2 linked regions of the Drosophila melanogaster genome follow. The protein of the gene in region 2 interacts with the protein of the main gene of each other region in a pairwise test. Each region holds a gene or a part of one and is shown on either strand. Other genes may lie near its edges.

Evidence for each region.
Region 1: the proteins of IKKbeta (region 2) and key interact in a two-hybrid assay, tested with the Drosophila melanogaster proteins (one study listed by BioGRID).

What each region holds. Positions count from the first base shown.
Region 1 is NT_033778.4:24,777,615-24,792,663, reverse strand, and holds key (kenny), read left to right. Parts: upstream 1-5,252; 5' UTR 5,253-5,373; intron 5,374-5,533; 5' UTR 5,534-5,622; coding exon 5,623-5,895; intron 5,896-5,959; coding exon 5,960-6,062; intron 6,063-6,120; coding exon 6,121-6,425; intron 6,426-6,568; coding exon 6,569-6,928; intron 6,929-6,980; coding exon 6,981-7,109; 3' UTR 7,110-7,150; downstream 7,151-15,049. Other genes in the region: Reg-5 (rhythmically expressed gene 5), read left to right, coding at 3,496-3,685, 3,814-4,376; CG3589 (uncharacterized protein), read right to left, coding at 7,264-7,352, 7,404-7,863, 7,921-8,030, 8,084-8,247, 8,303-9,009; TyrRS-m (Tyrosyl-tRNA synthetase, mitochondrial), read left to right, coding at 9,235-9,371, 9,439-9,771, 9,824-10,398, 10,457-10,645, 10,704-10,864; CG3594 (uncharacterized protein), read right to left, coding at 10,954-11,706; Lcp9 (larval cuticle protein 9), read left to right, coding at 12,295-12,306, 12,363-12,629; egg (eggless), read left to right, coding at 12,851-13,789, 13,848-13,965, 14,037-14,320, 14,374-14,629, 14,692-15,049.
Region 2 is NT_033777.3:16,042,997-16,059,517, forward strand, and holds IKKbeta (I-kappaB kinase beta), read right to left. Parts: upstream 6,426-16,521; 5' UTR 6,325-6,425; coding exon 6,225-6,324; intron 6,165-6,224; exon of another isoform or gene 6,035-6,164; intron 5,816-6,034; coding exon 4,362-5,815; intron 4,307-4,361; coding exon 4,137-4,306; intron 4,069-4,136; coding exon 3,673-4,068; intron 3,618-3,672; coding exon 3,584-3,617; 3' UTR 3,351-3,583; downstream 1-3,350. Other genes in the region: Jhbp4 (juvenile hormone binding protein 4), read left to right, coding at 621-753, 967-1,207, 1,283-1,721; Jhbp5 (juvenile hormone binding protein 5), read right to left, coding at 1,863-2,164, 2,225-2,279, 2,347-2,678, 2,811-2,913; CG5013 (uncharacterized protein), read left to right, coding at 6,792-6,920, 6,972-7,586; msps (mini spindles), read left to right, coding at 9,149-9,837, 9,893-9,963, 10,028-10,347, 10,407-12,940, 13,000-13,237, 13,296-13,795, 14,298-14,393, 14,556-14,969 and 6 more.

The sequences.
Region 1 (15,049 bases), on a different chromosome or scaffold from region 2:
GTCTATTGAGCTCGATTCAATCTGTCGAATCTAGCGCAGCGCTGAATACTTGATCAGCAGAGCATGATCGTTAATAATAGCGATATTGATATTGATATGGATATGGGTATGGTTATGGATATGGTGTTGTGATAACTTCAATGAGTTCGCTGAGTTCGCATATTAACGGCGCTTTGCGCGCTTCTGTTTTTGGGTTTCTCTCCGCACTTTTCAGTCCGTCGAAGACAAAAAACCAAAGGAATGAATATGAATGTCAGCATGAATATGAATGGTTGACAAGACGCCGTTCATTGTCAGTGAGCGGTATTCGCTGCTCATTTGCATAACTGTACCGCGATTGGCATCGTAACCAACATGGCACAACAAATACTCGAGCCGAAAGCTGAAGAAGAACGGTCCTTGGCATAAATAGACGCCTGCGGAGTGCGGTCTTGACATTGGGCCTTATCAGCGCCGAGTCTGGCGAGGATTATGCGGTGCGGTACAGTGTGGCCTGGCCTGGGAATACCGGTCCAGTGGGCGAGCGGCCCAGCGGGCCGGCTGGAAAGCCACTTGATTTCGAGAGCGTTCGAGGGGAGTCCGCTGGCTGTCGTTGCCAAAACACCAGCCATCTGGTTTCACAACTGATGAAGCGAAAAGGTTATACCGCCTGGGATCTAGCCGCGATTAGCCAGCCAATCCCCCAAACAAGCGAGTTCGGTGGAGCGTAGAGCAAACATTAATTTTCATTTATGAGGAACATCAGTTTCAATTTACATTCGCAAGTGCTGCCAGCGAGCTGAGGAAAAACTTAATAATGGCTAAAAGCTTTTCACTTTTCTGCACAAATGTTTGTGCAACAAAGCGTGACAACTCTGTGGCAATTTTCTTTGCCGTTTTTGTTTATCTGCTGTTTTTTGGTTAATGAACTCCGCCAAAGTGGCTTCAGTCCGCTCATTAATTAGCCGCCGGACTTTAATTTATTTGTAGCGATTTGCCAGTCATTAGATCTTTGTGCCCTGCTGCCAGCGCATCAATCCGAACCGAATCTCTGCCTTTCTGACCGCTAAGCACGCGAACTGCGCCTTAAATCCGCGGATCGAGACAATAGAGCCCGCAGACAATGTGACCCAATCCGATCCCGGGCCAGAAGTGATTGAAAGCCGCATCCGGCATCCCACACGAGTTTCTCGAAATGGGAAAATAATTTCTAAAAGGCAATTAGCTGCCGAAACGCAGCGATGTGGAGACGCAGTTTGTGGGGCTATACCTTTTTGCAGTCCATGTAAATTTCTAACCAGACTCGCCTCGGAATGATCGCTTTGAGTGTATTTATAGAAGATGCTTCAGCTTCCTGTTTCGAGGCGACTTTACCCTGCTCCCGAGTGATCGCAGCTATTTGAGCGCTTTCGATTTTCGATTGCAAAAATAAACAACAGCTTAACAATTTTTTTGTTGCCCTTATGTTTTTATGGGTGCAAACGCGTTTGGCCGGTTTGCGGTCCGGGCCCCAATAAATAAGTTATGTTCGCATTACCGTTTTGTTTTTACGTAAAATATGCTGGGATACACAAGCATGTGTGTAGTAATGGAACCCTTTTCCCATCCGATACCCGATCGAACTTCGATCATTACTTCGTCTTTTAGCTTTTTATTTTGTCTGTTATGAAATTTTTCATTTTCGTGGCTGTCTGTGCGTTGGTCTCTGTGGTTGGCCATTTCGATGTTTCATAATGTAACCTGCGCATATCAACAGGTTATTGACCGCCAATCCGCTGGGGATGGCATGTGGTATGGGCCAGGGGTTTACCACCACCACTTGCGGCCCGGGAAGCAGTCGCGTCTGCAGACCCACGAGACCGCTTTTGGCCATCTCTGGGTCTCGCTTCTCGGGGGTTGTGCGTCGACTGAGTATCTCGCATAGCCACAAGGAAGTTTGAGATACAGATACAGATGGCTCGGGCCAAGATCAGTCTGTCTATAGGCTAGACTTGTGGACAAACCAGGCGATGCCAGCTCAGCTCAACTTAGCTTAGCTCACTTCGCTGGAAGGCTAATGAGTTACAACCTGTCCGCGACGATCTCGAGTAAACATATTTTTATAAAAACGAGCGTATATTATATAAGCGAATTAAGTACGTGACTTTGACAACTCCCGCAAAGGCTTTTTGGAATATTTGCGCACTAAGCCATAAATAAATTGCTGTTTTGCTGAATTTGCAATTTTGACTGGGTTATATATTTAATTGTGCCAGGGCCTGGACCATAAAATCCCGACCGAGTTATTCGAATCAGATAACGTGCTCCTGACGCAGAGTGGCTTCCACTGGCGGAGGGGTGGGCACAAAGGAACCGATTCGTTCAATTAATCGCTGCCCCACTCAAGTACACATCTGAGCAAATGCACACCCAGGGGGGTGCTGAGGTGGTGCGATGGTATCCACTGCAATTCGCAGTTTGCACACGTTTGTGTGGCCCCACTGAGTGGGTAACGGTAATTGGTAATGTGAGCCAACCCGCCAACAACCCAACTCTCCAACTTTGGCCCCTCCGAGTCCGCCGATCCGATATATCCAATGCATTATGCAAACGGCGTAAAATTGTAAAACCCAAAGCAGAGCCAATGCAAATGAAGCTCTTGCTAGATTTTGAAGCAGATCAAGGGTGTATACAAATACATATATATATATATATACATATATCTAGAAGGAGGCTACAGACTCGATACTGGATCCCCTAGTGAAGTAACCCAGTTCCCCATTTCTTTTTATTTCTTTGTTCTGCTGTTTGCTCGTCGACTCTTCGATTGTTTGGCTGTCTGTCGGGAGAGGTGCTAAGTCGTGACCAATGCCGGATTCGGAAATTTCAGGGAGCTTCTGCTCTGTATCACCACCACTAAATTAGCATCGGAGCTGAAGCGATCCACTTGACGTCACCGACGACCAGAGAAATCCCACAAATCTCAGATGCAGATGTGTCACCGCAGTAGAACATTCGGCGCTAATTAAAAGTCCATTCGACGCTTCGCTGGCCACGGAGAATAGACAATGAGCTGTTGCTTTGGCCGCTGAACCGTAAACCCATACTCATACCCAGCCCATCCGAACTGGGGCACATGAACCAGATGGCAGCCATCCAATCTCGCCCTGGGAGGCAGTTGCTCAACCCGCGGGCCGCGCTGTCGAAATGCATTTCGTTTGTGCAACGAAAGTGCAATCATCTCCCGGCTGACACACACGCACCTTGCGAAATCCCCCCATTGAGAGCACCAGGCTTCAGCTCCACCTCTGCCCTGCGTTACCCAAGAGACCTGGTCGAAGTATGATTGCTTCGAACTTTCTTTTTTCTTTTTTTTTCTAATATCACCGACATATGTTCTCCGATTTTCGTTTATGACAAATCAATACCATATTCGGCTGGTGAACAGAGAAGCGATGATCTGCTTTCTAATTTCTATAACTTGATTCTTAAACACAAGACGCCATTAAAATAACCACCAATTTTGTTACTTTGCAGATGTCCCACCTCTACTCAACATTCGCTCAATTGGTAAGCGTGCACTGCAAGTCAACAGCCGCCGTCGGAGGCCTCCCAGTGAACCAGTGCAAGCACAACCTGCTCGGTTACGGGTCCGCCAAGCTGCAGACGCTCTCCGACGTACAGCTGGAGGCACTAGATCCGTATCAGCGCGATGCCAACGAGCTGAGTAAGTGCCTCTATCTGCGTGGGAGAATGATTGATTTCCGCGTCAGAACTTCCGCAGTGCGCAGTCGCGACGTGCTCGACGTGAGCTCTAAATCTCGGTGTCGATCTAATCGCTCTTTTCTTCCGCAGTCTGGTCATCGATTATGGGGGACCATCCGAGCGGAGCCAGCCTGGTGACAACGAGGCAGCCGCTCCAACAGCCCCTGCCAACTCCTCCTGCGTCCTCTCTGATCATCCTAACGCGCCAGCAACTTCCGCACGGAGCATCCCATGCCCACCCCATCCAGAGCTCCGGCTCCGCCACCAATCCAATCTTCGAGAGCGGCGAGCAGAAGCACAAATACGCCATGGACATGGACAAGGCCTACGGCTACGGGCCGCAGTCCAGCAGTGAGCTCCCAATGGCCGCCGCACTGACTTCAGAACCGTCCAAAAGATTCCTCACCGGACCTTTGGTGATCCGGGTGCGACCCGATGGCTCCCCGGTGGAGGAGGACAAGATGATGCCACTGCCGCGGGACGAAGACCTGCCCTACTTTCATCTTGGTCTGGCCGCCGCTCAGCCCAACAGGCACCGCAAGATCGCCACAATCAGCTCCTTAAAGCAGCAGCACTTCGCCTCTATCCTGCAGAGCGACCTCCAGCCACCCCACCAGACGCAGAGGCGTCTGTTCCGCCAGCAACAGGCGTAAGATCGCGGTCAGAGGATCCGCAGGCCTAGACCTAAGTCCTTGTGTGAATGTGATAGAGCAGATGAGGAGATCCTGCATCATAGAGTGCGAGAGTGAACGTGTGAGTCTTCTAGTTGTAGCCGTTTGAGGAGTTTTCTTGAATGCACTTGAGCTTTAATGGAATTTCGTATCGTATTCGTTTAAGTTTTTTTAATTTTATTTATTCGCGTGCATTAGTCGTAAGATCACATAGAGATTCTTGAGTAATAAACCGCATGATGATTATCATTGTTACGAACGTATTAATTCTAAAATGTGTGGATTGGGATGGAAATGAGGATGGGGATGCGGTCTGTGCACATAGCCAGGAACCGGTTGGTTATGGTAATACGAAAGTCGCATCTCGGCCAGCCACCAGTTCCTTGTCGCGAGCTCCACTCACACCTATATTTAACACGCGAAAGCCTTATTAACCCACATCTACAGAGTTGAGCCGAACAATGGAGGTACTGAATCCGGTTTGGCGGGTTCAGAACGCACTGCGCCGTCCATTAGAATTTGCGAGTTTTGGCAATTACATTTCGGTGTAATTTCGCTGGCAACTGGTTTGTCAGGCTCAGGCCTTTAGGACGCGCCCATTAATCTCAGCTGAGCAACAAAGGAAGGTAAATTGGGATGCACGTCACTGGGCTTGAATAAATGATGCCGGGACTTTCCACCGCCCTTGCAGTGCAAACTGCACTTCATATGCACGAGTTTTGGGCGTGTAATCAGTTTTATTGAAATTAGCTGCTTTTAAATTTAGATAGACGAGCTCGCCGATTGTCGATAACATTTCCGATTATGACAATATGACAATCAATGACACAAAAAAAGGCACATTTGAAACGATTGCGGTCACACTGGTCTAAGTTGTTTGGTAAATTAGTTAAAAGTAAATATTACTCCGAAAACAATTTTATTTCCTTAAAGCTTGTCAGCAAAGCAAAACGAGATAAGGAACGCAGTAGTATATAAGGTATATATGCAATAAACATGACAATTGCTTATTCCATTGTGACGCGTCGATGTAATTCCCACGCCTAATGAATCATTGCCCTAAAACTCATTTATTATACATTTATCCTTACTATTGCCGATATCAAATTAATCGATTTGGCTAATACTTTGCCGTCTAGTTTTCGAAAGAGGGGAATTCCCTCACCTGCGTTCACAGTCGTAAAATCTGATTATTAATACCCGCCATTGCTACCGCGACAACGGAGACATGTCGGACGAAGAGTCATTCGTTATCTTGGGTAGCTCGCCGTGCTCCTCGCTCATGCCGGACAGTTCCTTGCGGTCCGACGTATGTGGTAACGCGCAGGAGGCGAAGGAAACCGTTGCCTCTACGAGCACTCAGCCGCCAACAGTGAACTGTATTCCAGTCAGCATCACTGCATCGCAGCAGCAGCACAAATCGCTGGATTCCGGATCTTCCCAGCAACAATCCCTGGCGACCAGCTTCATTATGGGAGAAATTCAATCCGATGTCCTGAAGGTGAGCGTCTGGTTACCGTCTGGTCTGTTTAAATTCTAACAACAGTCTCTAAATCCAACCACAGAACAGTGTTTATTCGCAGTTTCCCAGCCTCTGCTCGTTGCAGGGCTCCGCAGAGGAAGTAGTTAAGCTGCAGAACATGATGACCGAGTACCTCGCGCTAAAGAGTGAGCATTTTTTTCCCGTAAAGTAATATACAGCAATAATATGCCATTATCCGGCCAGGCACACTTGACAAGGTCAACCAAACCATGCTGAACTACCACAACCTGACTCAACAATGGCGCCAGGAAGCCGCCGACCGAGAACACCAGTACAAGGAGCATGTGAAAGAGTGCCAAGCGCAAATCGCGATCCTTCGCGTGGAAAACCAAGAGCTGAAGAGGGACCTAGAGACGAAAATCGAGCAGATTGAAGGGGTTCATACCATCAGGCTAAAGGAGCAGGATGAGCTTCGTAAGAGCGTATCTGAGAAACAGTCCCTGATCGACAACATGCGCGTGGAGATTGACAAACTGAAACAGCTAAATGTATGTCTACCAGTTGCTCCAAGCGATAGGGCAAATACTTGCATACAGACTCGCAATCATTGCTATTCTGCATTGTAAACTGGACAGTATCTCTTTAAAATATTCTCTTCCGGGCTCGCACCCTTTTTCTTCTGTTATTTCAGCACTCGTTTGAGTTCGTACCAGAGTATGCAACCGAATCAAAATCCCAGGAGCTGATAAAGAAAATGCAGCTGGATATTAACGAGCTGAAGGCCAGGGACATCCAGAAGCAGGAGGTGATCAAAGGTCTACAGATCCAAAACGATATCTACCGCAGGGACTTTGAAATGGAGCGGGCAGATCGCGAGAAGAATGCCGGAGAGAAAGATCAGTATCTTATGGACTTGCGATCATTGCAGAGGAGGAACCAGGAGCTTATCGAAGCTCTGGCCGAGTCCCACAAGGCAAGCAAGGCGTGCTCGACCGCTTCTCCGCTGAGTTCAAGCAGAAGCAATTTGCGAGAGGAGCAGAGACCAGTAAGAGTACGCTGATTCCAAAGTCCATAAATGTCAATACTAATTTTTGTATCGGTAGATTCTCGACCCAACAGGCGCCTCATCCCGGACTTCAGACACCACTTTGCGATGTCCGATCTGTTCAAAGTCCTTTAACGCCTTAAGCGTGCTTCAGAGTCACGTTAACGATTGTTTGGATAAAAACTAAGCACAATTTCTTACCATATTAATAAATTTATATATATATATATATTTTCTTTTTTTACAATATCTTGTTTAATCTTAAAAGCCTGGCTAACCGGCCATATTATATAAAAACACTAATTACAGTTTCGTTAACAATGAACAATGCACGAGTCTCCTCAGAGTTTGCTGCGAATGGGGGGCATTTCCAGAGACCACACGCGGTGTACATCTGGACTGGCTACCAGGTTGCTAAGCACATTTAAGTCTGCAAAGAATTAAGATAAGCTAGAAACCATCGATTCGACATTCTGCTCACCGTTGGTGCGTGCAAACTGCTGCAACGTGTTGCGGATATCACAAATTGGAATGGCTGTATTTATGTTTGGGTAGACGACGTCGTCTAATTTAATGTTGGACACACAAACGCCTAGGATGCATCCATTCTGGTCGAACATCGGTCCTCCACTTTGGCCCGCCTGCACGCTGCCATCGGACATAATGGCCCCGGTGTCGCACTTGATGACCCTCCCTTGAAAAATCGAAGGGTTGAAGTCGTGCCTGAAGCTGAAGTTAACGTAGTAGGGAAACCCGGCGTTGTACACCATTTGCCCGACGGTGGCCGGACTCCTGGCCAGTCGCACGCAGCATTGCTCCGGCACATCCTGCGGAGCTGTGAGTAGAGCCAAGTCGAAGGGCTTATCGCTGTCCGGATTGCACCAAATCACCTCAGACTGGAACTCGCGATCGGCAGCACGGCAATTAACAGTCTCAATGTTCTGCGTGAAAGACATTATTTAGTGCGCCAAGGTTTCGGGCAGCCCATGCTTGCATACCTGTCCCACCACATGTGCACAAGTGAGGATAAAGCGCTTGTTGTGTACTCTTATGAAGGTCCCGGTACCTTGTTGACCCGCCGACTCTATGACCACAATGGTGCGCTCCCCTAGAACGGTGTGTAGTTACTATAAGAACAACGTGGAATTAGTCTTAACTTACAGGCAAAGCTCGACGGCTCTCGACTCAGCTGGAATGCTGTAGTAGACATGCCCAGTTGTTCCATAAAGTTGCGCAAAAGGTAGCCAAAGTTTGCGGCCAGAGTGAGGTTGACGTTTTCGTGATGGCGTTGAAATGAGGTGCATATCACAATGCCAACGAGCCGCCTGATAAACGGAAATTTTTGGTATATTACGGTTTTGTAACGTATTCATCACCTACAGCTTGTTGTTGAACACTGCAGAGCCTTCACAGCCCAGGGGCAAAGCGTTTGAAATGGCAAACAAGCAGCCACTTCGTCCCATAACATTAGACACCTTTCCAATGCTGATGGTCTTGTAAAAGTTCTCCAGGCCAAAGGGCGAGCACATGACCAGCACGTCGTCCAAAGTGTGCATGGGCTGCAGGTATCGCAAGTAGTTAGCGATGTGCGCGAGGAAGCGCTTGAAGGACTTCTCCTTTTCGGGCTTCCGCAGGCCCAGCACCACGAAACTGGAGCGCAGCACCTCACCCGCATCGCCGGAGTCAGCGGTGAGTAGTATGTGGTGCAGGTTGCGGCAAACTTCGTTCGCACAAAACACGTACAGCGGATGGGCAGTGAAGCGGGAGAGGATGTGTGGTTGCCTCGACCCAGGTGCTGCGATTGGCCTCGGCCGTCGTTGCTGCGGATCGAAGGTGGCCACAAAATGTAGTGAGCGGATCTGCGCATCCTCTTCCTGCTCCTCATTCTGAACATCCAGCAGTTGACCCCTCTGCAATCTGGCAACAATTGCCTTGTTCTGCGCTCCTTTGTCCCCGTCTACGGCCAAATGTGGTTGCAGAATGCTTCCAGAACTGATGATGAGTTCGTTGTTAATAATGATCGCGGACTGTTTTGCAGCCGGTGGACTGGTGACCTCCAACAGGGCGTGGCGTATCTTCAGCAGCATTATCTCTAGATTTGATTATGAATAGCCCCTTGTCATGGAAAACTGCGTTGGCTCCAAATGGAACCTTTGTGTTTGGACTCCGATGTTGCCATTCGCAGCGACAACCAGCTGTTTGCAAGCCAAAACAAGTCAGATTTTGTCATTCACCGCGCGCCGATCAGCTGATGGCTCCAACCTCAAAATCAGTCCCTCTAGGAATTTAAAATTTCCAACGAACTTCGCATAATGCTGCCTCTGCGCCGGAGTTTGCTCAAACCGCTCCAGGATGTACTCCGACATAGCCACCGCCAGATGTCGCAGAAGAACCTCTTGGAGCTCACAGATCGAGGCTTTTTCCACGGCATATTTCCTGATACAGCGGCGTAAGTATTGGACCATCTACAAAGAGAGAAGATTTCCATTTTATCTATGAAAACCGCTGCTCCACAGTCCCAGGATGAAACAGCTTTTTACCAGAGGCCAACAGAGCATCTACGCAGGATTCGATCCCACCGCTGACAGTCTACACGTGGGCAATCTGCTTGTAATAATGGGCCTGATCCACTGCCAAAGAGCCGGCCACAGACCTATTGCCCTAGTAGGAGGAGCAACTGGACTCATAGGGGATCCCAGTGGACGCAAGACAGAGCGCAACCAACTGGGCGAGACGGTGATCGAGACCAATCTAAAGGCTATCGAGCAACAGCTTCGCCGGGTGTTCGAAAATCACGAGAACTGCCTTTGGGACTCTAAGAAACAGAAATTGCCACTGGCTCCCCTAATGTGAGTGTGTAGCCTACATCAGGTCGTGTTAATCTCTTTCTAATCTCCGCAGAATCGTCAACAATGCCGACTGGTATGCGGACCTGCAGCTCATCGACTTTGTGGCCAACATGGGACGACACTTTCGCATGGGGTCAATGCTCTCCAGATCCTCGGTGCAGTCCCGCCTGGAGTCGGAGGACGGAATGAGCTTCACCGAGTTCACCTACCAGATTTTCCAAGCCTACGACTGGCTGCACCTACTGCGCCGCCACAACTGCTGCTTTCAAATGGGAGGCTCCGATCAGACGGGCAATTTAATGACTGGACACGAGCTTATTAGCCGCGTAGAGCGAAAGCGAGAGGTCTTCGGGCTCACCCTGCCATTGGTCACGACGGAAGAGGGCGATAAGTTCGGCAAGTCGGCAGGCAATGCAGTGTGGCTAGACGGTAACAAGACCTCGCCTTTCGCCCTCTACCAGTTTTTCCTGCGCATGCCAGACTCCGAGGTCGAAAAGCTCCTGAAGCTGTTCACCTTCATCCCGCTGCCCCAGGTGGAGCAGTTGATGCGGGAGCACACGAAGGAGCCCGAGAAGCGGAAGGCGCAGACTCTGCTGGCTGAGGACGTGACTCTGCTGGTTCATGGAGGTTGTACTCTATATCATTGTTCCTTTATATCAGTAGTATAGAAGTTTTCAATTCACAGAAAGTGGGCTGAAGCAGGCGGAACGTGTGACCAATGCCTTATACAAAGGCAACGTGGAGGGTTTAGCGGAACTCAACCTTTCCGAGATCCAGCAGACTTTTCAGGGTGCTACTATGGTGAACCTGTTGACCGAGCCAGGAATGTCCATCCTAGAGCTCGCCATGAAGGCGAAGTGCTTTCCCACGGAGAGTAAGTTATCTTTCTCTTTGGAAATATGGGGCATAATCGATTTGTGATCACTCTTTAGCGGATGCTGTACGCATTATAAACGCAGGCGGATTTTACGTTAACCAGAAGCGGGTGCAGAATATCGCCGAAGTGCTAACTACGGGCGTGCACATCCTGCGCAACGGAATTTCTCTGCTGCGCGTGGGCAAACGCAACTTCTATATTGTGCGCTGGCAATAGTTAACAGTAAACCTCTTATCCGGTAATGTTAACTTTTAATTGTTGTTAAATAATCATAGAATGGCTTACATTGTAAGAACTTATGCTATTTATGTGGGTCTGGGGGCGGGCTTTTTGCGCCACCGCTTTCGCGCCAGCATTTCCTTGGCCTTCTCCTTTTTCAGGTCCTTGTCGTAAAACTTGCCGCTCTTCGTGAAGGTCTTCTGCTCGTTGCGCATCTCGGCCAGCTTTCGGTTCTTCTGTTTGATGATGTTCTTCTTGTTGGCCGACTTCTTCTTGCCCGCCTCGGAGATCTGCACCTTGATGTTGCGTCCCTGCAGCTCTGTGTTGTGCAGCTGGAAGGCATTCTGGAAACTGCTTAGGTCGGCCATTTCCACAAAGGCGAAGCCCCCTCGTCGCTTCTTGGGAATGCGGATAGACTTGACCGTGCCTGCCGCAGAGAAGTGCAGCTCCAGGTCGTCCTTTGTGGTTTCGAAGTTCAGGTTCGTCACGTACAGGACGTGTCTGTTGGTTTTGGAGGCTCCTCGAAGCAGTGAACTCAGCTGGTCACTGGTTATCTGCCCATTTTCCGCAGATTCCTCTTCCTCGGCTCCGGAAGCAGCACTGCCCTCAGCGGCTGCCTCGTCGTCGGACTTGGCCTCATCCTCGCTCTTACTATCCTCCGGGTCACTGGGATTCCGTCCGTCCTCCTTGTCCACATACGTGCCCTCGAAGATCTCCCTTCGCTTCTGGTCATCGAAGTTTCCCAATAGATCCGCACTGTCGTCGTTGACTGTGCGTTGAACTCGCTTGGGATTGAAGAAAGCCTCCACCTCATAATCGCTGCCAGAATCACTGGCCATCGTGATATTTCTGGGGGAGATTGCAGTGCACACCGATACGCAGACACCACCACGTGGGATTCCCTCTGAATGGCAAATCTGTGCGGTCCCAGACATTTTCCAGCACTGGCTAATTGCGCGCCAAGAAATTCAAATCCCAGGCCATATTGCAATCGCAGCTTGTTAGAAACCGGTTGCAACTGCGGGAGCAAAATCAGACTGCTAATGGAGTTATGCGAAAATAATGCTAATCGGCGTTAGCATCGAAGGAACCGGTTAGCTCTTATCAGCTAAAAATTAATCGTGCGGTGCTGACAATTGATGAACGTGGTTGTTTTGGGAATCTTCCGCACAGATCTCCAAAGATAACCCCCCGAATATGATATGCCGAGTGGGGCGATAATTAATGCCTGCAGAATGACTGCATCTATGTCTTTTGTTTAATTAAGACAAACGACCGCTGGGAGCCAGTTATGAAGAAAATTTATGCAGTTGGTGATTCCGGCCGGTAAAATGTCAGTGGAGAGCTACATATAAAAGCGCAATTTTCGGCAACCAGCAGTCAAAATTTTATCGCTATCTATCAGCACACACATCCCCTTTCCAACCATGAAGTTTGTGGTAAGTGGCATCGAAATTAGATTTTGGGGACCTCTGAACAACGATTTGTCTTTTAGATCGTTCTTGCCTGCCTTTTGGCCGTGGTCTTCGCCAACGAGGAGGCTGATGTTGTAAAGAGCGACTCCGAGGTTAACTTGCTGGACTTTAACTACGCTTATGAGCTATCCAACCATATTCGCGCCGTGCAAACTGGAGCCTTGAAGGAGCACGACAACTGGGTGGTTTCCGGGGAGTACGAGTACGTGGCCCCCAACGGCAAGACCGTCAAAGTGGTCTACACCGCCGATGAAACCGGCTACCACCCAAAGGTCGTCGAGGCCTAATGAACAGGACCCACTCCCGAAGACCGAAATAAAAAATTAAATCCATTGCAGCAGCGAACATTTTGAATTTCCGTTCTTTTTCTTTTGTGTGAATAGACACTCTTCTTCTTTCTGCCACTAAAATCTAGGGCTGGCAAATTACGAGCGAAATTTTATACAATGTTATCGCTTGTCTCGCAAATTTGCATTAATGTGTAAAGTTAAGTAAACTCATTAAAACTATGTCTGGGCAGCCAACAGCCGTGGACTGCTTAGAGAGCAGTGGAAGCACAGTGGAGGATGTCCAAGAAACACCGGCGTCGAGGGAAAAAAGTTACGGGTTGCCGGTGCGCAAAGGAGAAAATAGCTTGGAGTCTCCTGCAGAACAAGCCGCAAAGGATGTGGAAATTGAGGAACTGACACACAGTGAAGCAATCGCCGCCACCGGTTCAACCAGGAAGCAGTGCCCATATGGAGGTAAGGCCCCTGATGAACCTGGAAAGTTGGCCGACGAATCGGAGGACCGCAAGGGAGAGAACACGAAAGCCATTGCAAGCAGCCCGGTTTTGGTAGCTGTGGATTCGGACAGCAGTGTTGAGCTAATAGAGAGTCCTGTCAAATTCTCCTCCGCCAACGAAAGTGAGAAAGATCCGCCAAAACCAGATGCTGTCAATGAAGCTGCGGCTAAAGAGGCCGAGGAAATGACTGATAGCAGCATCAGCAGTCCCACATCCGAAAGTTTTCCTGAAAAAGATGAAAAGACCAATAAGGAAAATGAGCAAGAACCTCCTGGCATGGAGGTAGATCAGGACGTCGAGGAGTCAATAAGTCGACCAGCAGAAGAATACAAAATTGAGAATACATTAAAAGGTCACAAGCGTATTAGCTTAACGGAAATCGAAGAACACAAAATTGTTGATAAAAAAGACGATGTCCTAGAGGTGGAGCTTGAAAAGGGCACTGCTCCGAAAGCTGCAGAAGACGAGAAGCTGAACGCTTTGTTATCAGATGGAGATGTCTTCTACGACAAGGAATGTGTCAACTGCAATTGCACAAAGCTTCATAAACAGTACGTGTTGGCTAACATGGCCACTTTAAACTTTTACCAGGTGCTCCGAAAGTCTTCCAAGCAGCAGTTCCTCTGCATGGGATGCCATGACACAGCAATGGACTTGTATGAGGTCAACTAGCATATTTATTAACTTAAGAGGGAAACTTAGAACGTATTTCTTTATTTAGGAGTATGCTGGACAACTAATGGCCAAGCAGCCGCTGCTGCTAAAGGATTTCCATCAGGATCACGCCGACTTTGTGGCTCTGGACAGCAGCGATGAGGAGGAAGAGGAGAAGCAGCCAGGTGAGACTGCTATCATGATAAATAAACAATAGCAAAAAAAAAAACGTACTAAATATATTTTATCCGCACAGAAAAATCGGACTTTTCGAAAAACAAGCTGCAGCTCATCGAAGATGAACTCGATGATGCCATCAAAAATGTACTTAACAAGGTGGATTTTACGGCTCAGCTGTCCTGGTCAAAAACTATTCTCCAGGCGAAAGCAGACCACTTGGAGCGACAATTCGCACTGGCAGATGTGGAACTCGAAAAAGTTCAGACCACCGCTGACAAAATGCACTGCGCTTTGTATAACTCGTGTCCGGTGGCACACAAACATCTGCCCACCCTGGACATTGAACCCAGTGACTATGTGGTAAGTAAGAAGTGATGCCGTTTGGATCTGATTTAATACAACCATTTACTCAGCATGAAGTTCCACCTCCTGGCGAAATCGTGCGTCCTCCAATACAGTTGGGAGAGACATACTACGCTGTTAAGAACAAGGCTATTGCCAGCTGGGTGTCCATAAAGGTAATCGAGTTTACAGAGAGCACCGCCATCAACGGAAACACGATGAAGAGCTACAAGATTAGGTACCTCAACACTCCGTACCAGATGATCAAGACAGTGACGGCCAAGCACATTGCCTACTTCGAACCACCGCCAGTGCGACTGACCATTGGTTAGTTCCCAATAGACCGGTTATTTATCAATCTATAAACTAACCCACTCATTGTGCACTAGGTACCCGCGTGATTGCGTACTTCGATGGCACCACTTTGTCGCGGGGCAAGGATAAGGGCGTGGTGCAGAGCGCCTTTTATCCAGGCATCATCGCTGAGCCGTTGAAGCAGGCCAATCGCTACCGCTACCTAATATTCTACGACGATGGGTACACTCAGTACGTTCCGCACCGCGATGTCCGTCTAGTTTGCCAGGCTTCCGAGAAAGTGTGGGAGGACGTACACGCCGCATCGCGCGATTTCATACAGAAGTACGTGGAGAAGTACTCCGTGGATCGTCCAATGGTGCAATGCACCCGGGGACAAAGTATGACCACTGAATCGAACGGGACCTGGCTGTACGCGCGCGTCATTGACAT
Region 2 (16,521 bases):
CCTGCAGCAATTAAAGCAGATGAAGCTTAACGGGTTGAATGGCTTATATAAATTTAATCGCTCAAACAATGGGCAATAACTATAATAAAATAACTTTCTTTTCTCTGCAATTTTTTACCAGAGATACTTTAATAAATTAGTGTCGTTACTAGTCATTTATACGTGACTTATTCTGTAGAAAGAACAATTCTTTTAAACACCAAAACGTATGCAACATATTTCACTTGAATGATATTTTTAATGATAATCACATGCAATATTTTTAAGAAAATCAATTCCTTAAAAGTGCATTGCTTTCAAAATCTTTTTTTATTTCTTCCCGTGGTCACTTGTCAGTCGGATAAACGGGTAGTACCGAAATCGCGGAATTCGTTACGCCAGTGCGGGGGAAAAAAAGTGTATGTAAAACTGGCCGCAAAAGCAGCGAACGAAAAACAAAACTATTGTTGGCCATCTTGGCCTTTGATGGTTTCGTTCGACTTTTCTCTTGGCTATCCCGGCACTTGGTCTCGAGCCATCGTCGCCAACGGTCGCGCTCAACGGATAGCAGATTACACGCCACGGATTAAAGTGCCGATCCAAAGGATACAATTTGCTTTAGTTTTCGTTTGCTTGTAAACATGGCTGTTAGCACAACATACTGGAAGTTGGCCGTTAGTTTGAGTGTTTTCGGTTCGATTTGCCTGATAACGGTCACACACGGGGCGTATACTCGCGAAATTGTCAACGACAAGCTGCCGTTGCAGGAGAGGCGTAAGTAGAGTTGGCCAACAGACCCGAAATATATACCTATATATACATATACACAGATGTACATATATATATATGTATATTTAAAGAACAAAGATCAGTTTTGAAAAAGATAAAGCAAACTAAGTAGTAAATTTGAGTCTATATTTAAAGTTAACATGTATCGAAAGACCTAATTTTGGAAATCAAATGTATAAACCAAACCTTTCCTCGCAGCCTCGTGGCTGCAGACGTGCAAACGCTCTAATCCGAACGAGGACAAGTGCTTTCGGCAGCTCTTCGAGGGATGCTTTCCGGCACTAGCCGCTGGCATTCCGGAGATCGGAGTAAAGAGTTTTGAGCCCCTAAACATTGACCAGGTGTCGGTATCCAAGGGCAGCGGCAACCTGGTGCTATCCGGAGGATTTCAAGACCTGGTCATCCGAGGGCCGTCCAACGCGACTGTGCGACGAGCCAGGTAATTAAATATAACTCACAAATAGCACCAAATAGCTACTAACAAACACACTCATTTCGCTCCGTTACTCTCTAGCTTGGATCTGGAGCGGCGATTGCTAAATTTCGAGCTGGAACTTCCAAGGCTTAGGATCCGGGCGAAGTACAACCTGAAGGGAAATATCCTACTTTTGCCCCTTGTGGGCAGTGGAGACGTGGCTATGGCGCTGAAGAACGTACACACAACCGTGTACACAAGGATCTCTCTACGGAACGAGACACGCACGGGCGACGAGATCATCCATATCGATGAAATGAAGGTTGGCTTCGATGTAGGCGCCATGAGAATACACCTGAAGAATCTATTCAACGGAAACGAAATTCTCGCGGCATCGATTAACTCCTTTCTGAATCAAAACGGCAAGGAGGTGATAGCAGAGCTGCGTCCAGACCTGGAACTGGGACTGGCAGACATCTTTCATGGACTGTGGAACAATGTCTTCTCCAAGATGCCCACCAAACTGTGGCTGGTTTAGTGATCTTCAGGACCACGTCCGCCGTTTTTGTATTATATTTATAATTTATTTCGCTTTTAACTGTCTGCTTAATTTGTAGGCTACTGTTTGTACTACGATTAAATCAGTAAGATAGAAAAAAAATGGGCTTCACTAGATATTTTACATGGGAAGCAGATCATCGTAGCTAAAAGAAGCAAACAATTTATCCACGGAGGCCCTCAAAATGTCCACCAGCGCCTTGGTCATCAACGGACGCACTTCCTCGGCCAGTGCCTTCCAGTTCTCGTTGAGAAACTCGTTCATGCGATCACCCAAAGCTTTGTCCCCGTTGAAAAGGTTATCCAGATGAATGTGGACATCAGATAGCTCGTACTTGACCTTCACAGTGTTGATCTTCAAAAAGTTGGCTCCATTCTTTTTGTACTCCTGTCCAATCAGCTCGGTTCGCATGGTGATGTTAACTGCAGGAATATTACAAATAAATATATATAGACTGTAAAGACTTGACTCTTTTAGCTTACCGAGATCCACCTTACAGTGGCCATCGCCCAAAAGTGGCATCATCATAATTTTTCCCTAAAATAATATAACAGTTTTAGTTAAGTCAATTTAGTTTAAATTGTTGAAATGACAATATTCATACTTCTCTACTGACCTTAATGCTGTAGTCCGATTCCATATGCAGCTTTGGGAAGGTCAGAGACAAAATGAACTTGAGCTTTGAAGGCTCCAGACGCAGCTCATTGACCGTGTGCTTTGAGATGCCTGTGACTTTGACATTTCGGTACACTGAGTGCAAATATATGGCCCCGGAGTCCTGGTCCATCTTGACCTGAGGAACAACCAGCGGCTCCATGGCAGGTATATATAGCTCTGGTATACCTTCCATAAGCCTTGGACGTAGTTCCTCATAAGATTCTCGAACACAGGTGTCTAGGTCGGGTGCATTGCGATGGCATACCTTAAGAAAGGATGCTAAAAGGAAGAAACAACAATATAATTTTACTTTTTCATTATTCCGATTTAAATAATTGTTAAGTTTCAAAATATCACTATACTCACGCGATTGTTAGTAAAAATATAAGAAAGACAAATTGATTTACGTACGCAGCTGATCCGCCTTTTTCGCCGGAGGTTTGGCTGTTGTCCAGTCTATATGTAGTACTACTCCTAGCACCAAAAGCAAGCCCGTCAAAAAGTATTGGTTCATTTTGTGTTTCCTTGCGATCTCCTTGAAGCTCTGGCAGTGGTCACTGGCTTTCGGCTTCTGGTGGCTGCCCAGTTGTTCGATTTTCTTTTATAGCAACGTCTGGCATGGCCAAAAGCCGACTAATTCTCTGTTCTGCCGCATGTGCAATTTCCCGTGACATTGCAATCCTCAGCAAGTTTCATTTCAATTGACCAAGCCAAGCTATATACAGCTGTTTATTCAGAAATTAAGCGGTCTGTCTATATATATATATACATACATATATATATGTCATAAAATTATATAATCTACTGTGGATTGAATATATAGCAAGTATTGATATAGTAACATACACATCTGGAAATCAGATCAAATGCAAGTGCACTATTTCACGATACCGCGAACATAAATTAAGTCGTGTAAACACTTGGGTTTTCCAGTGAAAAAGCGTAGCTAGTAAAAAATAAGGTTTGTCATTTATTTCAATGTTCGTAACACATATTTCTAAACAAAAAAAAAAACGTTTCCAAATGAGAACATTAAAGATTCTATGAAACTAATAAAGCTAATTAATTGGATAAGCGGGCAATAACAAAAAATCGAAATACACATTTGTATGATTTCGAATGGAGAAATATTTATGCGGTTTGATTGAAATCAAATTAAAATGTATGGTCGACCAGAATGCACACTAATAGTGATCAATTTTCATTTCATTAACAAGTCTGTAACCCAAATGATTTATTAGTAAATTTTTAACAGTTTTCTGTATTAACTTACATGTTGTTAATCCTTTCTGCCTCTTCGATAGCGTTTATCGTGCGTAGAGAGTCAAATGGATCCGAGCTGGGTGAGCCAGAGCTTATAGCTAGGCGGTCCATCGCTGCGCTTAGCTCAAGCTTCGGAGGTGGTGTGCTTGAGGCTGACATCAACATCTGCAAGTTAATCTGAAATATCTCCTTCTTGATGTCGCAAAATTGTTGTAGAAGGACCGGGATGGACTCCTTGGTCTTAAAATATAAGTAATGCATGTGATCGATAGACTTGGGCAGATGTCTAGCCTCGCCCTCGTTATATAACTTGAAACGAGATTTTGCGAATTCCTCGGCGTCATTATTTAACTCTGATGGCGAAATTATCGCACCATTGCAGAGATATTTCTTATAAAATCGAGCGCTAAGAATTAAAAAATAAAAACGCTGCATTATACATATTGGTCTGGTCATTTGATATAAAAACCTTACCAATCGAATAGGTCTTTCTCGCAAACTTCTTTCCGTAGTTGATTGGTGGTTTTAACCATGTCCTTGGCTTCCCGCAAGCAGGCTTCCAAGAAAGACCTAATTGATTTTGCGCTTTGTATAATGAAATTATAATTGCGGTTAAGCTTCTCCCACTGTGCACTGCTGATAAGCTGGAAAAAAACACTGAATTACTACGGGATTAAGGAGTATAGTAAGAACTGCTACCTGGCGGGACGGAATCTTTGCTTGGGCTTCTTTTAGCAAGCTTGTTAGCTGATCATAGGCAAAGGAGATTATGATACGCTGCTTATCGATGCTGTCTATAAACGAGTTTTCCATCATTTCGTCTTCCAACGACAACGCTCGCTCGTTTATTCCTGACACGAGCATTTCGTATCTTGCTTGCTCTTTGGTTAGCACGTAGAGCATATCCAAGACAACACGTTTTTGCAGCCATCTTTCCTTCGTCTTAAATTTGTTAGCGATAAACTTTCGAGAAAGAATTGATAGAATGGGTTCAGGTATTTTGTAGTCACACTCTTTCTTGACCTGAAAGATGTACAACATCACAGGTGGATTGCTGCGCTTAGTCCACTTTCGTGAATCTTTGCTTGTGTCACTCCACTCCTCCACATACAGCTGCAAGGGCGTACTTTTAGGCGTAATCGTTTTGTGCGGATGGGAAGTGGGCAGCACGAAGTACAGTTCCTTTTCGTCCATTCCAGTGTCCAGGACAATCAACGCAATTAGATCCTTCATAGTCATCTCCGCAGAGACCGCATACTCAAGTCGTTCGCAGTTGTTAACAGCAAAAATAGTTAGCACATTCATATTGAGTATTTTGTCCAGGTCAGCGAAGACGACTGGAACGTTATTAGCTGCTAGTTGACCGCGTTCCTTGTAGTTTGAGTTTAACGGGCTTGCCAGCCATTTGGTGAACTGAGCAGCCCAGGGCCGCGACAGATGGTGCGTCTGTGGCAGTTCAAACTGATTCACGAAACGAGTGTTATCCTCCGGATCCTCTGTGATAGCAATGCATTTGGCGGGCTTTTTTATCAGATTGAGTATAATGTTTTTAAGGGTTTGATGGGGGATGAAGGGCAGCTCACCAGTGACCAGCTCATAGGCAATTACTCCGAAGGACCATAAATCCACGGTCGAGTTGTAAAAACCATTTTCCACCACTTCTGGGGCATAGTAATGTCGGGTGCCCACCACGCTCTGCACCATGGTCTGGTCGGGAGTTCCTCGGGCGAGTCCAAAATCGGTTAGCTTATAGATTTTTTTGCCATCAACTCCACGTTGGATTACTATATTGTCCGGCTTCAAATCGCGGTGGCAAATCCCACACTGCGAGTGCAGAAAATGTAGGGCCTTACGTAGGGCTCCCAGTATCTGCCGCACCTCGAACTCCGTCAGACCATTAGCATTCTCCGGGCTCTGCAGACGCTTCCTCACGTCTCCACCGTTACAGTATTCCAGCACAATAACAGGCAACTTGGCACTAAACATGCCATTCAGGTACTCCAAAAAGTCCGGATCCTCGATGTCCACGCCAGCCACAATATGGGGAAAGTTTTTAAACTGACGAGACCAGTTCAGCTCCTTGTTCCAACGCTCGCTGAGCTTGACTTGCTGATCGGCACTCAGGGCCCCCATCTCCTTTATGTGCTTGGTGGCTATGTGGAAAATAAATAAACACTTAAGACTGACGCTTAAAATATCTGCCATATCGGCTAACTCAGCCGAAAGGCTATAAGCGACATATCTAATGCGGAGACCACACCAAACGCGCAAAACTCGAGCCCTCTATCACTATCAGTGGACCACCCGGAAACGCATGCCTCAGCTCGGTTTCTGGGAATTGTTGGACAACAAACATGTTCATATGTATATGTATGTTGTTTTTATGGTTTTATTATTTGGATATATACAAAATACAACAAAAAATTTATTTATTTATGAGTAAGGCTGGAAAGGGGGAGGGTGTTTGGGGGCTGGTAATGTGTGTTTGCGAAAAAGAAAATCCTTAAAATATTTATATGTATATGTATATTAGTGTTAGCCCATAAGGTGTTTATAGCTCACCAATTTCACGGCCCGTTGTTCGGTTTCGCCAATGGATCACTAGGCCGAATCCGCCCTCTCCCAGATTCCGGCACCGCTCCCAGTTCCCAAAAGAGTGCATCTTGTTGTTTTCGTTAAGCTTTATTTTATTTACGGAGCTCATTCTTCCAAGAATCTGAATCCCTCCATGGCAATCGGAAAAGCAAAACACCACAGTGATCATACAAGATTTGCGATATTCGATTGCTTATACACTAGTCATCGTTCAGCAGCAATCGCGGTCACGAGAATTTTGTTTAGAGGAGCGCTCAGCTGCAGCCACTTTCAATTGGGATGCATACCTTTAAATAAACTGGACGAATTGGGATACCCAAAAACGTTTTTAATTGAAGCTTAGAAATGGTGGCTTAAAATGTCAACTGCTACTGAAGTCACCCTTCGGTCACTATTTGCTTCACTCGCCTCAATTTTTATCGATTAAGTTATCGCAACGAAGTGACATCGCTAATCAAACAGGTTGTAAACAAAACGCTGAAAAATAACTTTAGTTTAGTGAAAATAGTAATACTCCTGCATGCTTGAGCTAAGATGCGTTTCCACATGAAGAGCGGCAGCGAGGACAATGACATTGTGGCGGCCACAGCCACTGCCGAGCATATCCGCAAGTTTGTCTTCAGCGGATCACCCGCCGAGCGACTGGAGATCAAAATACCTGAGGTAATCCTTAGAACCAGGTGTTCGTGTAGTATCTAAAGTGTCCGCCTACAGCTGCTTCAGGGTGCCTACTCCTTCTACACATGGCCTTGCGCACCAATTTTAGCCCACTTCCTGTGGGAGCGCCGACAGACACTGGCGGGCAAGCGCATCCTGGAGCTGGGAAGCGGCACCGCCCTGCCCGGCATTCTGGCGGCCAAATGCCGCGCCCAAGTGGTACTTACTGACAACTGCATTCTGCCCAAGTCACTGGCCCATATCCGAAAGTCCTGCCTGGCCAATCAACTGCAGCCGGGCGTTGATATCGATGTGGTGGGCCTGAGTTGGGGCCTGCTGCTGAACAGCGTGTTCCGACTGCCGCCTCTGGACCTTATCATTGCAGCAGACTGCTTCTACGATCCCAGCGTGTTCGAGGATATCGTGGTCACAGTTGCTTTTCTGCTGGAGCGAAATGCCGGGGCCAAATTTATATTTACATACCAGGAGCGGAGCGCCGACTGGTCCATAGAGGCGCTGCTCAAGAAGTGGAAGCTGCAGGCTTTACCCATCAGCATGGAGGACATTGGCAAGGAGTCGGGAGTGGATCTGCTGGAGTTTATGGGCGGACACACTATTCATCTTCTGGAGATCACGCGCATCGAAAGCGATGGCTCAATAAATACAACATAACAATTATACAATTGGCTTTTTTTATGCTGAATGTCAAATCTCTCTTAGTTAATGTTCTACACGGGAATGCTCCCAAACATCAAATAAATATTTGCCTGTGGTAATCGCTTGAAATCAATGTTGGCCAAATATTTGGAAATATATGTTTAAAATTTAGCGCGTACCTATCAAAGTTTTCCACCCAGCACACTAATTCTAGGTTTTAGGGGATGCTAGAGTTGTGAGTAGCGGTCACACTGGCGCAACGACGCTGTTGGAAAACTGCGAAAATTATTATTTATTTACCTACCGCGAAACCAAGTAAATTCCGCTGCACAAAAGAGGCTCGAAGTGCTGGAAACGTAGTTAAGTTATTGTTCATTGTTGCTACATTACTTGGCATCCCGGAAAGACCCCGTCGGTGTGTCTTTGTCGAATAAGTGTGCGTGCTTCTGTGTTGTGCCGTGTGTAAGTGTTGGTACGTCGTCGCCTGCGAAAAATCGAAGTTATTGCATTGCGCAGCCCTTTCAAGCCGCTGTCCCTGGCCAGCTGTAAGTCCCGCAGCTCCTCGCCCAGTCCCCGCTCTACGGCGGTACTTGGATCACAATTCTGATGGTGAGTGTGCTAGTGCGTGTACCGGAATGCACTCGGATGCATCGCGATTTTGTTCCAGGGCGTCGCAATTTGTTTGTCGCTAAAATGGGCGATATGTGCTTCATCTGCGGCTCTCAAGTTGCAGCCACTGGAAATTGATAGCCGCTGCAACCATTGGCGGTTGGGTGGAACGGTAAACGACGGCATAATCCAGACACACAGCCCACAGGAGAAACATTTGTTGTTGCCTGCGGTATGATCCGTTAATTCGAACTTGAGAGCGTCGGTGTGCGTGAGAGCTTGAAAGAGCGAAATCAAGAGAGAGGAAGAAACAAAGCGCGGGCATATCCGAATTGAAAAATGCTCTACTCAAACGTGAGCACAGTAGGAGCGCATCAAAACAATATTAAAGAGACAGATGCATGAATAATAAATGGGAGTGATGGAAAATCCACGCCTGATTCAGTCGCAGGCTTTCGTGTGCGTGTGTCACCTTTTGTAGTGGTTGTGCGGGGGGTATTTGCCGTGCCCCTGATTAATTGACTGAAAAAATAACGCGCTATTCAGCGACATGATATCACCCATCCTGGGTGACAAGCCCACCAACCTTTTCCGAAAATCCAAATTTACACTCTCCTATTTCTGCTTCTGTTTGCCAAATAACTGCACTTAGAAAACGACAATCTAAATATGGCCGACCCATTTACTTTTTTCCGCCCCTCGAGCGAAACGGATGGATGATTCTGCTTCCTTGGCCATCGGTATTTCATAGACTATTAAGCTCAATTTTAAAACATCAGCTCGATGACTCCTGACATCCGGAATAGTTCTGCTTCATTGGAAGCTTGGCTAGTTTTTCTTTTAAGAAAAATTCGATTAAAGTAGCTTTTTTATACATATTTATCTTTTTGTTTCGCAGAATGCTGCTTGAGGCTGTTTGCGACTGAGACCATTGAGGAGAACCCGAGTAGCGTACGAAACACGACACAATGGCCGAGGACACAGAGTACAAGAAGTTGCCGGTGGAGGAGCGGTGTGTCCATAAACTATGGAAAGCCCGCGTCGATGGTTACGAGGAGGCCGCAAAGATCTTTCGCGAGCTGGATGACGAGAAGTCGCCGGAATGGTCTAAATTTGCAGGGCTCATAAAGAAGATGGTAGTGGACTCTAATGCTCTGGCCCAGGAAAAGGGTCTAGAAGCGGCCCTCATTTTTGTGGAGAACAGCGGGCTGGCGGGACGCACAGTAGGCGACGTGATGACAGGCATCGTTCAGAAGTGCATTGCGGCGCCAAAGACCAAAACCAAGGAGCTCTCCGTCCAAGTGGCTCTAATGTATGTGGAGATAGAGAAGCAGGAGGCCGTCGTCGAAGAGCTGGTTAAAGGTATGGAGGCCAAGAACCCTAAGATTGTGTCTGCCTGCGTGGCAGCCACCACACTGGCCCTCCGCGAGTTCGGACACAAGGTGATCGGCGTCAAGCCGTTAATTAAAAAGCTTGCTCCGCTAATGTCTGACCGAGACAAGACGGTCCGAGATGAGGGCAAGCAGCTGGCTGTTGAGATTTACCGTTGGATCGGAGCTGCAATGAAGGCACAGATCTCAACGCTACCACAGGTAACGCTAAAGGAGCTGGAGGATGAATTCGACAAACTCAAAGGTGAACGCGTTGAACCCTCCAGGTGTGTTCAAGGATTTCTCTCTATCATTGCCTAGCTAAACCGCTCTTACTTTTAGATATCTAAAGTCCCAGCAGGAAAAGCAAGCGAAGATCGCCGATGCTGCAGCGACCGAGGATGCATATAATGGTATGAAGCCCTCGATATTACAAAAGCAGTGAATTATTGATTTGATTTTGGTTTTCGTATGCAGAGGATGATGGCGAGGCTGGCGTTGAAGAAATCGATCCTATGGATCTTCTAGACCCCGTTGACATTCTCTCCAAAATGCCCAAGGACTTCTACGATAAGCTGGAGGAAAAGAAATGGACTCTGCGCAAAGAATCGTTGGAAGTCCTGGAGAAACTGCTCACTGACCACCCCAAGCTAGAGAATGGCGAGTATGGAGCGCTGGTAAGCGCTCTTAAAAAGGTTATAACCAAGGACTCCAACGTAGTCCTCGTTGCAATGGCCGGAAAATGTCTAGCCTTGCTAGCCAAAGGATTGGCAAAGCGATTCTCAAATTACGCATCCGTAAGTAACTCTCACCTTCTTCCAAATAACGTGTTTTCATATGTGTTCTTCTATTTCAGGCTTGTGTCCCATCCCTGTTGGAAAAATTTAAAGAGAAGAAACCTAATGTTGTGACAGCGCTGCGTGAAGCTATTGATGCCATATACGCCTCCACTTCTCTAGAGGCCCAGCAAGAGTCCATTGTAGAGTCCCTGTCCAACAAAAATCCAAGTGTTAAGTCCGAAACGGCCTTGTTTATTGCCCGTGCCCTAACCCGCACCCAACCAACCGCGCTAAACAAAAAGCTGCTTAAACTTCTGACCACCAGTCTAGTGAAAACGCTTAACGAACCAGATCCAACCGTACGCGACAGCAGCGCCGAAGCTCTTGGTACTTTAATAAAGCTAATGGGAGACAAAGCGGTGACTCCTTTGCTCGCCGACGTCGATCCACTCAAAATGGCCAAGATAAAGGAGTGCCAAGAAAAGGCGGAGATTAAAATAAAGGTTGCAGGTCCAAAGAAGGAGACACGACCTGCATCTGCACCGACTGCGAAAGCTGCTGCTCCGGCTAAGACAGTGGCTGGTAGTGTGGACCCTAAGCCAGTAACCCGACCGGCCACTACAGGGGCACGTAAGGTCTTGAAAAAACCGGCGACGGTTAGTGGAGGAGGAGCTACATCTGCCCCAACTGCAGCTCTTAAAGCGGGTGGAAAACCCCTAGCCACGGAACGCGAAATAACCCCCGAGGAATTGCAAGAAAAATCCGAAGAAATTCTGCCAGCCGAAATTCTTAATGGGCTGGTGGATTCCAACTGGAAGAACCGCCTTGCTGCTGTGGAACAGCTTCTGGGCGAAATAAGCGGTTTTGATGCAAAACAGGCTGGCATATCACAGATCCTGATCCGAACAATCAGTGGACGAAAGCCAGGCCTCAAAGAAATGAATTTCCAGGTACTCAAGTTTAAGCTAGACATAATCCGCAGTGTGGCTGAAAACTATCCACTGACCACGACAACCGTTGATCTGGTGATTAACGAAATAATCGAGAAGCTAGCAGACGCCAAGAATGGTGCAGCAGCTGCAGATGTTTTGTCTGCCTTTGCCGAAGCCACTAAACTGGAGTATGTTGTGGGCAAAGTATTGAGCTTTGCTTTTGAACAAAAATCGCCTAAAGTGCAATCAGAGGCCTTTAACTGGGTTAACAGGTCAATCATAGAATTCGGCTTCCAATTGCAGCCAAAGACACTTATTGAAGATGTACGAAAAGGCGTGCAGAGCACGAATCCAACGGTTCGTGCTTCCGCCATTCAAATGGTAGGCACCATGTCTATGTATATGGGCAAAGCTCTAATGATGTTCTTCGACAGCGAGAAGCCTGCACTAAAGTCCCAGATCCAGGTAGAGTTTGACAAGAATGTGGGCGAAAAACCACCCAAGCCTGTTAGAGGAGTTCAACGTAGCAGCGGTGGAACCGCTGGTAATTCCCCAGACAATGAGGACGATGATGGTGGGGCAGCCGGAGAAGAGGAGCCCATTAATATGGCTGATCTTCTACCACGCGTTGATATTGCTCCACAGATTACGGAGGCATTGCTGAAGGAGATGTCCGACAAGGACTGGAAAACTCGCAACGAGGGTCTGACTAAGCTGCAGGCTATTATTTCAGAGGCGCGGCTAATCAAACCCAGCATTGGCGACTTGGCTCCTGCTCTGGCCCACCGTCTGGTAGATTCCAATGCTAAGATTGCCCAAACGACACTTGCCATTTGCGAGCAGCTTGCCACAGCCATGGGGGCTGGTTGTCGAAATCACGTGCGGAACTTGTTCCCTGGCTTTTTACACGCTCTGGGTGATAACAAGAGTTTTGTAAGAGCCGCTGCCCTCAATTGCATCAATAGTTTTGGCGAAAAGGGCGGCTATAAGGAATTTTTTGAGAGCGAAATGATAGCCGATGCCCTGAAAGGAGGATCCCCAGCTCTAAAGACAGAATTGTGGGCTTGGCTGGCAGATAAGCTGCCTGGTCTTCCCCCCAAGTCAGTATCGAAGGAGGATATCCATTCAATGGTGCCGCACTTATATGCTCACATCTGCGATCGAAACGCCGATGTCCGGAAAAATGCCAACGAGGCGGTGTTGGGCATTATGATTCACCTTGGATTTGATGCAATGAACCGCGCTCTGGACAAACAGAAGCCCGCGTCCAAAAAGGATATACTTGCAGCACTCGAAAAAGCGCGTCCTAATCTTCCGGTAAAACCGCTGCCCAAAGGCAAGCATCAGGCTCCAATACCTGAGGAGCCGAAGCTAAAAACAGTGCGCGGCGGTGGAGCAGGTGGTGCGCCTGGAATCCAGAAGAGTGCTACAGCCCGGGTTGCCGGAGGACAAGACAAGCAGGTACCAGCGCGCAAAAAGGACGAAGATATCGACACATCGCCGCTACTGTGCGCCAACAGTGCTAAAAACCAGCGGCTGCTAGACGAGCAAAAAATGAAGGTACTAAAGTGGACTTTTGTAACCCCAAGAGAGGAATTCACCGAACTGTTACGCGACCAAATGATGACCGCAAACGTAAATAAAGCACTGATAGCCAACATGTTCCACGACGATTTTCGGTAAGTCCCTGTAGTGTCCCTTTCGCATTACCTAAATAATTACTTGAATTGCCCTGAAGCTACCACTTGAAAGTCATCGAGCAGTTGAGCGAAGATCTGGCTGGTAACAGTAAGGCGCTGGTGTGTAATCTGGACCTAATACTTAAATGGCTGACGCTGCGATTTTACGATACGAACCCTTCTGTGTTGATTAAGGGTCTCGAATATCTAGTACAGGTTTTCCAGGTACTCATTGACGAGGAATACATTCTGGCCGAGAACGAGGGAAGCAGTTTTGTCCCACATCTGCTTTTAAAGGCAAGTTCCAGATAGTAGGGGGTATTACAATTTTCTAAGCTTTCTTTTTCACACCCAGATCGGAGATCCAAAGGATGCTGTTCGAAATGGCGTACGCCGCGTTCTGCGGCAAGTAATATTGGTCTTCCCTTTCGTCAAGGTCTTTGGCTATGTGATGGAGGGTCTAAAATCGAAGAATGCCCGTCAGCGTACTGAGTGCCTTGACGAGTTAACCTTCCTAATTGAAAGCTATGGCATGAACATCTGTCCCCAATCGGCGGTGCGCGAGATTGCTCGCCAGATTTCCGACCGGGATAATTCCGTACGCAACGCAGCACTCAACTGCATCGTCCAGGTCTTCTTTTTGTCCGGGGAAAAGACTTACAAGATGATTGGCCATCTTAACGAAAAGGACCTCTCAATGCTAGATGAGCGCATCAAGCGAGCCAAAAAGACTAAGAAGCCCACGCCACCGCCATCTGTTGATGTGCCGGCACCTCAACGACATGACAGCATCGAAATCGAAGATGCTGAAGTGGGCAACGGTTGCGACGAGCTTCCACCACCAGATGAGGACGGGTAAGTGAGAAGGCTAGCTTAAAGTTTTGCGAGTGCCCTGTACAACCGAGGGTTGGAAACTGGTGTTGTCATTATTCTGGGATAGCAATAATAAAATAATCCACAAGACACGGACAAAATGTTGATGTGCGTCCTATGTATAATTTTAGTTGCCCAATTTAATGTGCGTGCCTATTAATCGAGAATTCGTAGTTATGGCTCTGTTTGGGAGTGAAAGCTTTTATTTTTGGATTTCTAAAACAAGCTGTAGTATTTATGTAAACTTTACACCACAATGTTATATAGTTAATCCTGAGGTAAAAAACATACGAAGACAAGGTAGGTTCGTTTCCTTTCGGTTAATTGTCTTCTACCGTTTGTGCAATTGTTTTGTACTTTCAAAAGATGCGGTAGTGGTTAGTAGTTTCCTCCCTCGGATGTACCAAAAGATGAGCATATTATTTTTATAAATTTCGGTTTGTTTCTGTTGATTTTCGTTATTATTTATATTTTATTAACTTAGTTTGCAGCGAGAACTAAATGCGCGTGGGCAGAACAACATGACAGATCGGAGCGCCACAAACGTGGTTGCCTACTTGAGCTCCCTGACTCGACAGGCGTAAAGTGGCTTTCTTTATACTTGTGTTGTTTAGTTTTTTTTGTGTTGCTTGCTGTTTGTAAAGTTGTCGTTGCTTTTTTTGTTCTTTGTTGTCCTTCTATGTGTATGCGGTTTAATTGGGTTCGAATTTATTTCACATTTTCTTTTGTTTCGATTATCTAGAACTTTCGACCAGGCACCTTCGTCACAGCTGCTTCTACTCCAGCAACAGCTTCAACAGTTACAACAGCAGGCCCAGCAACAGAAGCCCAGCGGACCATTCGGCTTGGACTCGCAGGTAATCAGCGAGATCGAAAAAGATTGGGTCCGAGTGGACCAAATGGAGCAGAAGCCGCTACTGAACGTAGATATCTCATCGCTGGACGAGCCTATTAAGGTGAGGCCCACGCGGGCCGGCATTCACTACCCGCAGGAGAAGTTCGATCGGCTGATTTCTCGACAACACTATATGCAGCAGACTTTAACGACGTCCCCGTCATCCACGGCTGGAATGACCAGTGGAGTCTCCCCGTATCGCAGTCCTATGCGCTTGCAGCACCAGCAGCCTCAACAGCAGCTGGAGAACAATATACCAAAGTAAGTGCTCCATCTGCCTATCCCACACATCCGCTGTTTAACGTTTCTTTTTTATACTAACAGTTTGGCGGATGTTTTGCCAAAGCACGATCCGCAGCTGGTAAAAGTTATAAAAGGTGTAAGCAGCACGGACACTCTAAAGGCGCGCGCGGCTATTAACGAGCTTGCCGCCATCATCGAGGCTCCAGAGAAGCAGGCTGTGCTGCGCGACTATGAAGAAATATTTATTCAGAATGTGCTTGCACAGTTTAAGGTATAATAAACTTTATTATATAGTTATCTTCAGAATCTTAATATATTGTTTTCTTTTGTTTCTTTTTATCAGAATCTCTCACAAATACCATCGGCTCAATCCGTAGTTGTTTACCAGCCGCTATTATCCATTCTGTATACATTTTTCCATGCCAACATTCTGGGCAAAACGCTGAGCGTGGCCTGCATCAAAAATCTAATGTCGGCGCTGTTGAACCTTATGGCTGATCCGAAGTTGGCCGTGGGTGATGATAGTCAGTATAACAAGGTTATTAATGGCATATGTCTAAAAGTGTTGGACAAGGTAGATTTTACGAATTTAAACTGGTAAGATTATTGATATTACTATTTATTAAACCATATTAATTGAATATAAAACTTCGTAGTGCTTTGATACGCCTATTACGGGAGACTTGTCCGGAGGCAAAGCTGCCGAAGTTTACAGACCTGCTGATGAAGTGCATATGGCGCAACGTTAAGATGCTACCCGAACGAAGCAACGAGCTGAACTATGACGCCGTAATTCTCGAGGTGCACGAGTTCATGCTCGCGCTGCCTAGCACTTGGTGGCAAAACCGACCGTCGGACACTCCAATGCGCACGATTAAGACCATTCTGCATAACATGGCAAAGGTGAAGGGGAATGCTATTCTGCAGCATCTCAACCAGATTCCAACACACTCGGAGCTACATACTTATTTGATACGCATTCTCAAGGTGGAAATTCTTAAAAAAAAATTTTATAATAATGCTCAAATACAAAATAAACGCTATTTTTTTATAGAATTTCCAAAAGGATGGCTCTGCTTCAGGAATTGGTGCCTCCCCCCAGAGGGCCAAGGAGATTGCCTCCAAGCGAATTTCGCACCAAACACATGATACAGTATCACAGATCTTTAAGCTGATCTCAGATAGAGATACCAAACAGCAAGGTCTGCAGAAACTTTACGACTTTAAGGTTTGTTTTCAAAAAATATTTCAATTGATTATTGAGGCACCTTAGGCAATACTTCTAAACATTTTAGCAACAAAATCCTGATATCGATCTAAGTACCTTTCTGCAAGGCTCCAGTGCCCCATTTCACAAGTACATCGAGGAGGGTTTAGCCGAGATTGAGAGGAATCAGAACGCTGGATCCACACAGGATAATCGGACGGGTAAGAGCGTCACACAGATCGGCTAACGCCCAATTTGTTATACTAACGTATACTAACTATACTGTTTAAATCCGACGAACTGCAGCAGCTACTCGTTCTTATCTCACAGATGTCAACTACCAGAACAACGGTCCCGATCCCG